Macaca fascicularis: one gene and its partner. The protein of the gene in region 1 purifies or fractionates together with the protein of each later gene. This does not show direct contact. Links are inferred from orthologs where the notes say so. Each region holds a gene or a part of one and is shown in the gene's direction. Other genes may lie near its edges.

Region 1 (7,486 bases):
TTAGAAGATAAATTAAGGGCTGGCTGCAGTGGCTCATGCCTGAAATCACAGCACTGTGGGAGGCTGAGGTGGGAAGATCACATGAGCCCAGGAATTCAAGATCAGCCTGGGCAATATAGTGAGACTTCATCTTTACTAAAAATTGGGGGAAAAAAAAAAAAAAAAAAAAACCAAGCATGGTGTCATGCTCCTGTAGTCCCAGCAACTTAGGAGGCTAAGGCAGGAGGATTGCTTAAGCTCAAGAATTCAAGACCAGCCTGGGCAACATAGTGACACCTTGTCTCTAATAAAAATAAAAAATTAGTGAGGTGTGGTGGCACATGCCTGTAGTCCCAGCTACAAAGGAGGCTGAGGTGGGAGGATCACTTAAGCCCAGGAGGTCCAGGCCACAGTAAGCCATGATTGTGCCACTGAACTGCAGCCTGGACAACAGAGCAAGACCCTGTCTCAAAAAAAGAAGATGAATTAAGGTACTGTCTCATAGAATTGAGCAAAAAGTTGTATAATTGGAGAGAAAGGGCAAAAACAATTTAGAGGCCAGGTGTGGTGGCTCATGCCTGTAATCCTAGCACTTTGGGAGGCCAAGGCGGGCAATCACCTGAGGTTAGGGGTTCAAGACCAGCCTGGCCAACATGATGAAACACCATCTCTACTAAAAATACAAAAATTAGCCGGGCGTGGTGGCACATGCTTGCAATCCCAGCTACTCAGGAGGCTGAGGCAGGAGAATTGCTTGAACCCAGAAGGCGGAAGTTGCAGTGAGCTGAGATTGCACCACTGTACTCCAAACCTGGGTGATAGAGTGAGACTCTGTCTTAAAAAAAAAAAAAAAAAAAAAAAAAAAAAAATTAGAATATCAGTCTAAACTCCAAATAACAGGAAGGAGTTTGAGAAAGAGAGAAAGCAAAGTTGATGAAATCTTCAACACTATAGTTTATAGTTTAGGAAGTTTTCCCGTAACTGGAGGATACCCATTTCTATAATTTTTTTTTTTTTTTTTTTTTTTGAGACAGAGTTTCACTCTTGTCGCCCAGGCTGGAGTACAATAGCACAATCTCAGCTCACCACAACCTCCACGCCCCCCACAACTTCCACCTCCTAGGTTCAAGCAATTCTCCTGTCTCAGCCTCCCAAGTAGCTGGGATTACAGGCATGTGCCACCACACCTGACTAATTTTGTATTTTTAGTGGAGACAGGGTTTTTCCATATTGGTCAGGCTGGTCTCGAACTCCTGACCTCAGGTGATCCACCTGCCTCAGCCTCCCAAAATGCTGGGATTATAGGTGTGAGCCACTGTGCCTGGCCACAAATTTCTAGATTGAAAGAGCAAATTGGGGGAAAAAAGATCTATGCCAGGGTAGACATTGTGAAATTTCTGAACACAGGGAACCATCATTACCTACCTCAGGAAGCTGCAGTATTAGTTGCCTCTGATTTTTGACAAGCATGGGAAGATGGGGGCTGTTCATACAAGGCCAGCTTCAAGTGTCCAGTCAAATAAAAGCATCCTTGCACGTCTTTTAGGGAACGACTAGGCAGGTCAAATAATGACAGTTCTCTGGGAATGGGGCATTGAAGGAGCTCCAGACTCATTTTGTATCCTCCAGTGGCTGCCAACATGAGGTTTTCACAGTGATTGTGGCCTGTTGGTTTTCAAGGCTACCACAGAGCTGGAGGACAACAAACGGGTACACCGCAAATTAAAACACCACAAAGGTAACTGTTCTTGTTGAGATTCAGCTATTTTTCTTGATTAAGTGCTATGTGTATAAGCTTTTGGCTAACTTCCGAAGTTCTGAAAAAGCTCATTTTGACTATTTTTGTCAATGTTTTCATTCTTTTTGTGAAGATGATTTTCAGAGGTCCTTAACGTGTTTTTTTTTTTTTTTTTTTTTTTTTTTTTTTTTTTTTTTTTGGCTGATGTCACCAACATGTAGCTTTTTAAGTTTAGGTTAATTAAATAATTAAGCCTAGGCAACATAGCAAGACCTCATCTCCTGAAAAAAAAAAAAGATAAAAAGATTAGCTGAGCATGGTGGTGCATGCCTGTAGTCCCAGCTACTCAGGAGGCTGAGATGGGAAGATTACATGAACACAGGAGGTTGAGGCTACAGTGAGCTATGATCACATCACTACATTCCTGCCTGGGTGGCAGAGCGAGACCCTGACTCTTTAAACAAACAAAAAAAAAGTTTAATTAATTAAATTCCTTAGGTTCACTAACCATTTTTCTTTTTCTTTCTTACTTATTCTTTTGGTAGAGATGGGGTTTCACCATGTTGCCCAGGCTGGTCTCGAACTCCTGAGCTCAGGTGATCCGCCTGCCTCAGCCTCCCAAAGTGTTGGGATTACAGGCGTGAGCCACTGCACCTGGCCCCATTTTTCTTTCTTTTTTTAGTCAGTGTCTCACTCTTCTCACCCAAGCTGTAGTGAACTGGTGCCATTATAGCTTACTGCAGCCTCAGACTCCTGGGCTCATGTAGTCCTCTCACCTCGGCCTCCCAAACGGGGGATTACAGGCATAAGCCACTGTGCCCCACCCTTACTAGCCATTTTTCAAATGCTGAAAAGCCACATGTGACTAGTGACTACACCATTGGACAACTCAGATACAGAACATTTCTATCATCTTGAAGTTCTGTTGGACAGAGTTGCTTTAAGGAATTATCCTCATTATAAAATGATGAGTATACTGAGGCTCAAAAAGATTAACTCATTCAGACTTTCTGAGACTCCAAAGCTTCATGTTGTTTACCTCCAGCCTTCTCTTGGTGCTTTCCAGCTTTTTCATGTTGGGGAATACATAAAAATGCTATTTGTATAGAGCACACTGGGGTAAATGGATGTGACTAAAAGATCATCAGCCCCTAGTCTCCTGCTGCTCTTGTCTCTACACACCTAGCCCAGGAATGAGGAGGATCCACAGCTCAGCACACTTAACCTGATCATGCAGTTCTGCTGTACATTATAACAGTGATTCTCAAAGTGTGGTTCCAAGACTTGAAGCATCAGCGTTACCTGGGAGCATGTTAGCAATATGCATTCTCAGGTGCCATCCCCATCCCCATCCCAGACCTACTGAATCAGAAATTCTGGGAGTGGGGTTAAGCAGTTTGTAGTTAAACAAGCCCTCCAGGTGATTCTGATACACATAAAAGCTTATTCAATGAGTAGTGCTGGGAAAATTGGTTGTCCATTATGGGACAATACAGACACACAGTGAAACAATGTATAATATATATATTAAATGCCTGGAAAATCAATAACAAAAATTGTATCCTCAATACCACCTTTTGTACCCCTCTTCAGAGATACTGCTAAGTGAATCAGGTAATTTTTACATATTTTATATCAAACTAACATACATTTTGTAGGTTTCCTCACTTTAATTTTATGTTCAAATGCCCCTCAACAAGTGAACATCCTTTTCTTCAGCTTTGTTGTAATATTTAGATATTATGGTTATTCATTCACTGTCTAATAGAATTAGTAAATTGAACAAAAGCTTCAGTACCAAGACACAAAATCTCTCTATATATATTTGCTTTGTGGTTCTTAACTTTCTAAAGGTCATTGACTCCTTGCAGAATGTGTTACTAGAAATGGATATTCTGACTGAACACATTGGCTCATGCCTGTAATCCCAGCACTTGGGAGGCCAAGGCGAGCGGATCACTTGAGGTCAGGAGTTTGAGACCAGCCTGACCAACATGGTGAAACCCTGTCAAATACAAGAATTAGCTTGGCATGGTGGTGCATGCCTGTAGTCCCAGCTACTCAGGAGGCTGAGGCACAAGAATCACTTGAACCCAGAAGGCAGAGGTTGCAGTGAGCAGAGATTGCACCACTGCACTCCAGCCTGGGCAACAGAGTGAGACTCCCTCTCAAAAAAAAAAAAAAAAAAAAAGAAAAGAAGTTGATATTTCACCAGAAAAATGTACCTGTATCTAATATTTTGAATACAATTTCAGAATACCTTGATTTAATTGTAATGGGACAAAGATTTAGTTAGAAGTTCATGTTTTGTAGGATATTGCATATTTCTAGTTTGATTGCTTGCTTTTTAAAAAAATTAACTTGTTCCTTTTTTCCTCCTACTTGTAACTCTAAGGTGGATACATTGCAAATAGCCTAGCAATCATGACAGATGCACTTCATATGTTAACTGACCTAAGCGCCATCATACTCACCCTGCTTGCTTTGTGGCTATCATCAAAATCACCAACCAAAAGATTCACCTTTGGATTTCATCGCTTAGGTAGGTAGTTGGCGTTTCTTTTGTTTTATAATGTTTTATAGTAAAACCACAATGAACTATAACCCTGATTAACTGAACTCGTTCCAGTGATATATTGTTTGAACAAAGCAAATGAAAATAGATAAACAAGATTTATTCAAAAACATCTTTTCCAGGGTACATTCAGCCCAGTCAGCTAAACAGTTTACACATATAAAATTATATGATAATCATTAATCTTCAAACGTTGTTCCCTGTGTCCTGAAGATATCATCAGAATAAAGTTTACTTTCAGTTAATTGAACAAAGCAAAACCACATGGGTTTAACCCATTAGTGAGCATTAGCTTCTCCCTTTTACTTCAGATATTTCAGCCAAAGCTACCATGGCTTAGATTTTAAGCAGAGCTATCACATGCTGTGTGGCTGAGCTTGACTGCAGCCATTGTATCAATATAAGTGTGCAAATGCACACATATTTTTATTTGCCTGTTTTGAACAATATTAAAGTTTAATTATAGAGTTAAAATCATACATTGTGATCTACACAGCTCTGCTTCTTACTATATTACTGTTTTTAAATTTTTTGCTTATTTTGAAAATATATGTAAAATAATTACCTGAACTATTATGTGAAGTAACATTTATCCAGAGTCAGAATGCAAAAGTTGACATTTAAGTAGCTTCAGCAAAACTTGCCTCAAAGAACTAGAGTTAATATCTGATAATTTCATTTTGTAGGAATACTGATGCTCCTGGCTAATATATCAATCAATTCCTCATCTTCTTTGTTATTTTTTAGCCTAAAAAAATTTTAGACTGTAGATTTTTTGTTTGTTTCTTTGCCTATGTTTTCTTTGTATTTGTTGTTTGATTTTGCTTTTAAGACAGAGTCTTGCTCTGTTGCCCAGGCTGGAGTGCAGTAAACTTTTTGTTTCTTTACCTGTGTTTTCTTTGTATTTGTTTTTTGTTTTTGCTTTTAAGACAGAGTCTTATTCTGTTGCCCAGGCTGGAGTGCATTGGTGTGATCTTCTTGCTCTGTTGCCTAGGCTGGAGTGCAGTGGTGTGATCTCAGCTCACTACAACCTCCACTTTCCAGGCTCAAGTGATCCTTCCACCTCAGCCTCCCAAGTAGCTGGGACTATCAGTGTGCACCAGCATGCCCGGCTAATTTTTGTGTTTTTTGTAGAGACAGGGTCTCCCTACAAGGGAGTCATCCCTTGCCCAGGCTGATGTCAAACTCCTGTGCTCAAGCCATCCTCCTACCTTGGCCTTCCAAAGTGCTGGGATTGCAGGTGTGAGCCACCATGACCGGCCCACAGCATCTAGGACTTCTTACTTAGTGACTAGGTCTTCTGGTGCAAAATTTGACACTGTACCTAAATGGTGATATTCCAAGTAGCTATCCAGGTCATTGGGTTGAAAAATTATTTAGCATCCCCAGCCCTCAGTACTCTCAGCTACTGTACAAAAGAGCTAAAGCCCCAAGTGAAGTTTTTCTTTTGTTAAGCTACTGCATAATGCATGTGAATGTGTTCGTGGCGGGTGTGATGGCTCACGTCTGTAATCCCAGCACTTTGGGAGGCCGAGGCAGGTGGATCACCTGAGATCAGGAGTTCAAGACCAGCCTGGCCAACATGGTGAAACCCCGTATCTACTAAAAATACAAAAATTAGCTCTGCATGGTGGTGCACGCCTGTAATCCCAGCTACTCAGGAAGCTGAGGCAGGAGAACCGCTTGATCCTGGGAGGCAGAGGTTACAATGAGCCTAGATCATGCCAGTCCACTCCATTCTGGGTAGCAGAGTAAGACTCTGTCTCAAAAAAAAAAAAAAGAATGTGTTCCTAAAAGAAACCCCACTGCTTCTCAACATATTATATAGTCGTTTGTTTACTGGTTGCCTTGGGATTTTTAAACAGCTTCAAAATTATTTTTAAACATTAATTTTTTTGTGATTTAAACACCTGCAGTTAAGATCTAAAATGTAAACATATCATCATGGAATGGGAATCTTTTAACACTGTTTGAGAGAGTACATTTATATAGTCCTGTGGTTCTTAAACTCTTTTAGGTTATAAACCCCTTGGAATTCTGATGAAAGCAGTGAAACACTCCCTCAGAAACATGCAATAACAGAATATAGAAGATGCTACACATATAAGAACCCATAATGATGAAAATTCTGTTAAATATTAAAGAAGTACTTAGTGTTTGTTCTACATAGTCACTTTGCTTCTTCATAAATAAGTACTGTGTAAAAATAAGAGACAATAGAACTGACTGGTCCTATTGTGTCTCTGGAATTTTCTATAGAAAGTCAAATCTTTCCCTTTCCTTAAAAGTACTAAGTTCCAAGAAGGTAGACCAGACAGCACCATTTGATTCCTGTCTCTCTGAGAGTCCATTAAAATAAAAACATAGAGGTACCAAAACACCAAAGAGAATTACATGATTGGGTTACCAATAAACAAATTTCCAGAAATTTTTGGAAGTTGTAAAGTAGATAGGAGTGGGTTGAAGGAGAAAACAAGCCAAGAAGCAATGTGTAGAACATACTCTGAACTAGGAACCGGACCAGCCCAACAGATCTTAAGGCTTAGGGACAGAGATGAGCAGAAATGAGAATTGGGGCTGAAAACAGGGAAGATTAATTGAATAAATGGGAAGCCATTCCCAGTGGTCACTATGCCCCTACCTCCCTTCCTACTCCTACTTCTACTCGGGCAGCTTACACTTTCCCCCAGGTAAAACACCAGATATTTCTTCTAGAAAAAAAACTGAACAAAATGTTTGGGGAAAACTGAGAATTAGTGTAGATGTTGATGTTCCAAAATAAGTCTTATTTTTACTAGAATTCAGAGTTCTGCCACCTCATATCCTGATTCTCCATCTACTCACCCTAAAGGAATATAGTTCTCTGCCCTGCCCTACACCACATATTAATAACCATTTTAGGCTGGACATGGTGGCTTATGCCTGCAATCCCAGCATTGTGGGAGGCTGATGCAGAAGGATCCCTTGAGCCCAGAAGTTCGAGACCAGCCTGGGCAACATAGGAAGACCCTGTCTCTACCAAAAAATATTATTTCAATTCATTTCTGGCTTATCCTTCCAGCGTTTCCTTTTTACAAAGGATAGTTTCCCTATCCTTCTGCCCTAAGTATGAATAGACAACCAAGAATCTTCCAGCATGTGGGAAGAACCAGCAGCATGAACTAAAATGATCAAAACTAAACTAACAGAAAAAT
Region 2 (7,974 bases), on another chromosome or scaffold:
AATGTTTGTCTAGGTAGGGCCCAGTCTCATCATTTACTAACTAGCTGCCCAGTGTGCTCTACTATGCATAATATGGTAAACATTTCACCACATTTTGGAAACCATGCTGTAGTGCAGCAAGGTTGTACTCAAAATGCAGTAGGGGCCATGGGGGTATATTTAGGACTGTCCAGGTTAATTGTGTGCATTCCTGATGTCTTCCAACTTCCTGACCTCTTGAACCTCAACTTTAGACTCTATTTAAAAAAGCCCAGGTAACCCAAATATGAGTGATGTGGCAGGCTGAATAATGGTCCCCCTACAAATCCATGTCCTAATCCCTAAACCTTTGAATATGTTATGTTATATGGCAAAGGGGAATAAAGGTCACTAACCAATGGACCTTAAATTACAGATTATCCAAGTGGGCCCAATATAATCACAAGGGTATTAAAAGTAGATAAGGGAGTCAGAGGAAGAGCTGCAGTGACAAAAGCAGGTCAGAGAGACGCCACGGAGCTCGCTTTGAGGATGGAGGAAGGAGGACATGAGCCAAGGGATCTGGGCAGCCCCTAGAAGGAAATAGTAAGAAAATGGATTCTCCTTTGGAGCCTCCAGAAAGGCACACAGCCCTGACAACACCTTGATTTTAGCCCAGCGAGATACCTGTCAAACTTCTGCACTCCAGTAAGACAGTAAGTTTGTGCTCTTTTAAGCCACCAACTTTGTGATGATTTGTTATAGTGGCAATGTAAAATTAGTAGAAGTGGGAACTACATTTGTGGTTATTCATAATCAAAGACAATTCTCCTAACCATTTCTGTTTAAAACCAGCATTTGGACATAATTCCCACATAATTTCTCTTTCTTGGAGTAGAAAGCATTCACAACTGAGTTTTGAATGGTTCACACTCTTAACTGTCTTAAATAATGTCACATCCAATTATGTTGATGCTAATGAATTGCAACTTGGCTATTTTTAAAAATCCCAAACACAGAAGATTATTTTTGTTCAAATATCAATTTTAGATTTTAGTTTTCCCAAACAGTATTGTTTTTTTTTTTTTTTTTTTTTTTTTTGAGACGGAGTCTTGCTCTGTCGCCCAGGCTGGAGTGCAGTGGCCGGATCTCAGCTCACTGCAAGCTCCGCCTCCCGGGTTCACGCCATTCTCCGGCCTCAGCCTCCCGAGTAGCTGGGACTACAGGCGCCCGCCACCTCGCCCTGCTAGTTTTTTGTATTTCTTAATAGAGACGGGGTTTCACCGTGTTAGCCAGGATGGTTTCGATCTCCTGACCTCGTGATCCGCCCGTCTCGGCCTCCCAAAGTGCTGGGATTACAGGCTTGAGCCACCGCGCCCGGCCAACAGTATTGTTTTAAATGAAGGTTTATATTACTGATTTCCGTAAAGCCACTTGTAGTCATATAAAAGTATGCCCTTTCATTAGAAATTATGCTTCATTAAAGCTTTAGAGTTTTTCCTCTGTCTGTCCTAATGGTAATTGCCCCATTCACCCTTACCATGTAGCTGTTTTGAAGGCTATCTCCTTTCTGCCCTCTCTTTCTTGGGCTTAATCCTGTGGTGTTAGCAGCCTAATGTGGGCGATATGTATTCTGGGCCTCATTATTGAAACTCAAGGCATCGTTTCATAAGAGAGCGGGTTAATGGCGAAACTGGCAAAACAGCTCACAAAGCTGATGTGACACCTTCATCCCTTTCAGGACTCACTGCCATATACAAGATGTAGAGTGACATTCTTAAATAATTCATACATTCAACAAAATATTTACTGAGGCTTCTAGGTGTCAAATGATGGGGATAAGAGCACTGAATAATTTATACAAAAATTCCTGGCTTGGCGCAGTGGCTTACGCCTGTAATCCCAGCACTTTGGGAGGCTGAGGCGGGTTGATCACGAGGGAAGGAGATTGAGACCATCCTGGCCAACATGGTGAAATCCCGTCTCTACTAAAAATTACAAAAAATTAGCTGGGAGTGGTGGCGCGTGCCTGTAGTCCCAGCTACTTGGGAGGCTGAGGCAGGGGAATCGCTGGAACCCGGGAGGGGGAAGTTGCAGTGAGCTGAGATCGCGCCACTGCACTCCAGCTTGGCGACAGATCGAGACTCCGTCTCAAAAAAAAAAAGAAAAAAAAAAAAAGAAAAAAAAAATTCTTGCTCTCATCCTGCCGTTCTTCTGAAACTTTCTTGCTTCCTGGCTTTGGAGGTTTGGGAATTGAAGAAAATAAAGTAAAAAAGATAAAAACAACCAAAGAGGAAAGGTTTTTCTAGATCTAGACATCCTACTCTCTTCTTCCATACAAGATTTATGCTGATGGAACAACAATGTAAAATAAGAAAATTCCTGAGATAATTTTAAAAAGAGAGCAGAAAAAACTCATAGTGGACTTCATCAAGGAATGTGTAAAATGGGTAGAACCTGGAGTATTCAGTGGCAAAATCTTGGACATAGGAATACAGTAACACAACATACTGGTCTAGCAAGCACTGTAGGAGACTGAAGCGGAATTGTCCAGGAAATCCCACAAAAATGGAAATGAAGAGGTCTCAGTATCTCTAGGTGCAGAAAGGAGATAGCCTTCAAAACAGCTACATGGTAAGGGTGAATGAGGCAATTACCATTAGGACAGACAGAGGAAAATGCACCTAGTATCTCTAGGTGCACAGTAACATTAGTTTACAGATCAGCATTACCTATCTTTTCTTTCAGTTGATAAGTATCCTATTGTAATCCATTCATTCACCCTTTGCTTGTTCATTGTTGAAACAAATTCTCCCTGGAACAAAATTCTAGTAACCAAATACATCATATCGGGGGAAACTTCCTTACAGAAGGGATGATATTAAAGTAAAAAGAGGAGGAAGTCCCTTCTTCAGTTCTGGCAGGGGAGGAAAAGCTTCCCCAAAGGTAGGTGATCTGTTGTGACCAGGCTAAACCCACTTGAGGGACTGGCATCCCCTAAAGGTGAAGAGGGGAGGAGACCCACCTCCTGGAATGTGTCCCTGTGGTCTCCAGATGATGTCTTCCTCTAATAAGGACAATTCTGCCAAAGGAATAGAATGCTTCGTCACAGGCTCAATTACTCTGTGTCTCCGCCAGCTTACCACCTATGAACAATTCATCAAATTAGGAAAGCGGGGAGATTTAATAAAGACACAACACATAAAGTGTAGGAAAACTATTTGTATGGCATTCCGAGACGACTAGGTCAGAATTAACAAGGAGCAAAGTAGTTAATAATACCAATTATGTTAACCTAGCACAACACCTGTGCTGAATGTCAGTGTTTAAAAAAATCTCCCAATCTTTATCTAAAAAGATAGGGCTACGTAACAATCGGAATGATTTTTGTCGGTGGAGGTCTAGTAAGCTGCAAGGGTAGTGGACGCCTTGACAGCTGCCAGTCTCGCGGCCTCCGCGGCGGCGTGCCCGTGTGGCTGCGTGCGCGCGGACGGGGCGGGGCTGAGGAGGGGAGTGCGCGCGCGCGGACGGGGCGGGGCGGAGCTCGGAGGGCGGGCGCGCGCGGGGCCGTCTGGTCGGCAGGGGGCGCTGCGCACCCATGCCGCGCTCTGCCTGCCCCCGGGTGCTGTCCGCGGCGGTTCGATTGGAGCAGCCGCCGAAGAGCGCTTGGCGCCATTTTGAAGCGGAGAGGAGGAGGAACGGCCGGGCTGGCTGCGGAAGGGGAGGGGGGAGAGAAGGCGATTGGATGCGGCGGCGGCGGCGGATCCCGGAGAGCCGCGGAGTGAGAGGAGTAGCGAGTCGGAAACCCGGAGGTAGGAAACAATTCAGTTAACGGAAAGAAAATGTCTCTCTTCTCTGGCCGCGGCGCTCCATTTTTCGGTGGCCGCCACTGCAGCTGTGTGTGTGTGTGTGTGTGTGTGTGTGGCAGGGCTGAAGCGCCGCCCGCCCGGGTGCCAGGCGCGACTCGCCTCCCGGCATCGGGGGCTGCAGCGGGCGGCTGCCTGGCGGCGGCCCGGGGCGGGGGTCGCGGGGCGCGGGCCGGCTGCGCGGTGGGGGTGGGGAGGGCCCGGCGGCCGACTCGCGCCTCCACGCCGCGGGCTCTGCCGCAGCCTCTGGAAATTAAACTTGCCGCTCTGATCCCGGCCCGGGCGGCGGCGGCGGCGGGCGGTGACCTTGCGCGCGGGCTGGGGTCCCGGGGCCGCCCGGCCGCCCGCGCCCTCCCGCCGCCACCGCCGCCGCCGCGCCCCTCCCCCCGCGCCCCGGCCGGCCGGCGGCTGTTTCCCGGGCGGCAGGCGGGCGGCGCGGTGCTCCTGTTGAATCCTCCCGCGGGCGGGCTTCTCCCCCTTCCGGGCGAGGGGCGGGCGGGGACCGCGGGTCGGGGCCGCGGGCGCCCTCGCCCTCGCCCTCGTCGCCGGCTCCCCGCGCGCCGCCTGGCCTGCGCTTCGGGCCAGGGGACGGGCTGAGCATGACATTTTTGCGCTGTTCCTCGCTGCTTGCCCGAGGGAAATCGCGCTCACCGCGCCGCCCGGAGTGGGTGCTCGGGGAACCTGAGGACCCCGTTGAGCAAGAGCCCAGCGCTGGCGTGGAGGGACTCCTCCCAGGCGACAACTGGGTTCTAGCTTTCCTTTCGGAAGGAACGGCGGGGAAAATGGTGTGCAATTGTGACTCGTTAATGTTTTTGCACTGTTATTTTAATGCTACTTTAAAAGTTTTCGGTCCGGAGAAAAACCTTGTTTGTTGTTGTTGCTGCTACTGCTGTTGGTTTTTGGTAGAGACGTGAAAGCTAACTCTGAAGTAGCTCGACAGTTATTTTGGAGGAATGACTGAAACCAGAAACGCCGCCCCTCGCCTTCGGAACTGCAGGCTGCTGCGTTCCTTGCCGCGGACGGGGCGAGCTCCGGGAAGGGTTGAAAGAGCAGCTACCCACCCATTCCGCGCGCGTCTTCAACAGCCTCTCTACCCCAGCAAGGGTTAACCCTTTTTTATGTCGAAGAAAGTGCTTCTTGTACTTTTAATAAGAGGTGATGGATGGGCAGTGGTGCCCCGACTGATCCTACCCTGTCGATGAAATAGTTTCAGAAACTTTGGATATAGCTTTAATTTAGAGGGTTGGTCTGCGGTGTGGAGAGAGTTGGGTAATCCTATACCATCTTCCTAATAAACTTCAAAAACTCACGTTGTGTTTACATGCAGGAGGCGAGCTGTAAATAAATCGTCATTACCCAATACTTGAACGGCAATATAGTCGTTGTTCTCAGTTAACCCATCCAGAGTTCCCAGACAGAACGTTTTTTATATTAACTCATGTAGTGGTCAGGTAAACTAGTTAAAAGCCACAAATATGGACTTGAAAGACAGCTCGTTATGCAGTACACATGTCTGAGATGTTCGCATCTTTAGGGACAATGAAATGAGTATTCAATGGTGTATGTGGGTCAGTTCGTGGAACAGTTAATCTTGTATCTCATGGTGATAGCAGAAAACCGAATTAAAATTTGTAGTGGTGAATAGGTGAAAGTTACATGGGACCTTTTATGTTAAGATCGATTGATTGTCAGAAACTAAAAACATTTTAAGAACGTTATTCCTTAGAAATAAGATTTGTGCTTAATATACGTTTACAAGTATATGTAAAAAGATGCACTTTAGACTTTATAAAAATTATCCAAATAGTGACTTTTTCCTCCTTTTTCTGATGGTTTAAAAAATTGTCCTCTTCTCAGCTGGCGTTTACTTAAAGGTGTATTTTAAATGGGAAGGTAGTGTTTGTGTTCACCCTTTTTCTTTTTTTCTTTTCTCCTTGTTTTGGTTAAGGCTGATTTTCCCTATATTACCTTTTACAGCAGCTTTTGTTACTCTTGTCGCCTTTATTCTCTCGTGTTATGTCTCTCCCCTCTCATTTTTACCCCCGTATTAGAGACACATGTACTGATGATAGTGATTCTTGTCGTGAGATGTTTGTATTAAGCTTACTTGTAGTAAGATTCTACCGAGTTGGCTGTTTGATGAAAGTTGTTTAAATTGTTCTGCAGCTTTGTTTAACAAAGTAACATTTTGAGGAGTAGGCTTTATCAATAATTTGTTAGGCCTAAGATAAAGTAATACTTTGTGTTAGGGCTTGCCCTGGAGAAGAATGCAATGGTAGAAAATACCCAAAACTTTGTGAGAAAGGAATATTTCGGGAAGTTGTATTCTTTCTGCTTATTCCTCTTGGGAAATTTAGAGACTGCCTTAGAACTAACAGGAGTGCGCTCAGTAAGATTTGGCTTATGGACTCTTGAATGACATGGACTGTATATAACTTATATTGGAAAAGTTATTTATGTTTCCTCCGTTAGTGTTAGAGAGCAACAAGAAAACTTAAGGATGATCTCCAACTCGCTTATACATGAGAAATTCGGTTCAGATTTTAATTTCATTGATTTATCTGAGGTCACAGTCGTATTCATGTGGTGGAATTGGGGCAGCTCTTAGATATCCTGGAAGCTGAGAAGTTTCCCCATTGTCTTTTTTTTGTTCTATTCAGGATTTAGCAATATTTATTAATAAAAATTCAGGGTAGCACATTACCTTCCATCCCCTTCTCACCTTTTTATTCATTTAACCAAGAATAAAGTTTTGTGGTTAGCCATCTGTTTCAGCGTCTGGTTTTTAATAATTTCTGTTTAGGATTCAGTCCATTTAGGTTGTCTCAGAAGATAACCTCTTGTAGGTGTCTGTCTCCGGGAGCTGCCTGCTCTTTCATTATGTAATATTACTTGACATGGCGTTTATTTATTGTTTGTGAAACTTCTAAGAGTAATTTGGGAAAGTTAGTATGACCTTTGTTTTGTTACAAGATACAGTGCATACATGAGTGTGTGTTTTTTTTTAATTTTTAAACTTAGTTTGCCACACAAGTCATCTGTCACTTCCAGTTACAATATGCATTTTATTTGATTTTCGTATTTCTGTTCGGGAATGTTAAAGATTCCAAAAATACTTAGTTTAAAAATAAGCCCAGTAATTTCTCTGAGAATGTATTTACTTTTTAAGCTTAGTTAAGAAGCTGCCAAATGGTTTGCAGTTCTGACTCCTTGGAGAGTACAGTTGAGCCCTTTTCTCACACTGTTCTGTTATAAGCCACCTGATTCTAACCATTTCCCCCCATTAGTTGAAAAAGGTTTTAGAATCCTTTCTCATCAGTTAGTTCAGAGTTAAGAATAAGTCTGCTGTGTTGAGACTGTAATTGTTTTAGCTGGCATGAGTGATCATGTACAGTGAGAAAATCATGACAATAAATCTTAGGTGAATAAAATTTGGTTGTTCAAATCTTAAAGCCTTTAATTTGAGATTTAAAAAGTATCCATAATCATTGTGTTCTAATAATTAGACATTAATAATAAGTAGTAATTAGAAATACTTGGTTTAGCTGTGTAAAACTTGAAGGCTAACAGGCGTGGGGGAAAGACTGATTAAAGCAAGAAACTATTTTGAGGCCTGCCACTCTCTCTTTTGACAGATCATGACCTGATTCAGTTAAAATGAACAGGCACTAAACTTCTGTATACATACAGTACCAAGGATGGTGTAATAAACAGGACTGAAGAAGACACCCTGTCCTATAGAAGTGTAGAGTAGTGGTTGGCCATCCACAGCAAGGTGATGAGAACTGAGACAGACCAGAGAGTAGGAACTCTGCTGTTACTTAGTTCCAGAGGAGCAGGCCCTCCTTCCTTTTCAGTGAAGAGTTGAGGTTGCTCTTTTTATGTGGGAGAGTGAAATTAGCCAAGATTAGATCCCATAAGGAGAAGGAGGGGCTGTTATAACCAAGACCGTTGTCTTTCTCTAGAAGAGAATGGTTAGGGACCTGGAAAGAAATGAGAGTTTGTGTTTCCTTAGGTAGGATAGGATTCTTTCTCCCCAGAGGTGATTTTAGGGAAGTAATTAGGAGATTTTAAAGGAAAGCTCTGTATCTCCAAAATATGTCCCTTAGTAGCTGAAATTTTACCAGGTAGCTTTCAGATATGGGATGGC

What was found. Proteins that work in one complex are often made in the same cells at the same time.
Region 2: the proteins of SLC30A4 (region 1) and PDS5B purify together in Homo sapiens (affinity purification with mass spectrometry; 3 studies listed by BioGRID and IntAct, counting the BioPlex papers as one, with this or other methods). This does not show direct contact. The link is inferred for Macaca fascicularis from reciprocal best matches to the Homo sapiens genes SLC30A4 and PDS5B.

What each region holds. Positions count from the first base shown.
Region 1 is NC_088381.1:22,024,799-22,032,284, reverse strand, and holds part of SLC30A4 (probable proton-coupled zinc antiporter SLC30A4), read left to right. Parts: intron 1-4,112; coding exon 4,113-4,259; intron 4,260-7,486. UniProt on the Homo sapiens protein: Probable proton-coupled zinc ion antiporter mediating zinc import from cytoplasm potentially into the endocytic compartment. Controls zinc deposition in milk.
Region 2 is NC_088391.1:12,289,548-12,297,521, forward strand, and holds the start of PDS5B (sister chromatid cohesion protein PDS5 homolog B), read left to right. Parts: upstream 1-3,626; 5' UTR 3,627-3,770; intron 3,771-4,230; exon of another isoform or gene 4,231-4,609; intron 4,610-7,974. UniProt on the Homo sapiens protein: Regulator of sister chromatid cohesion in mitosis which may stabilize cohesin complex association with chromatin. May couple sister chromatid cohesion during mitosis to DNA replication.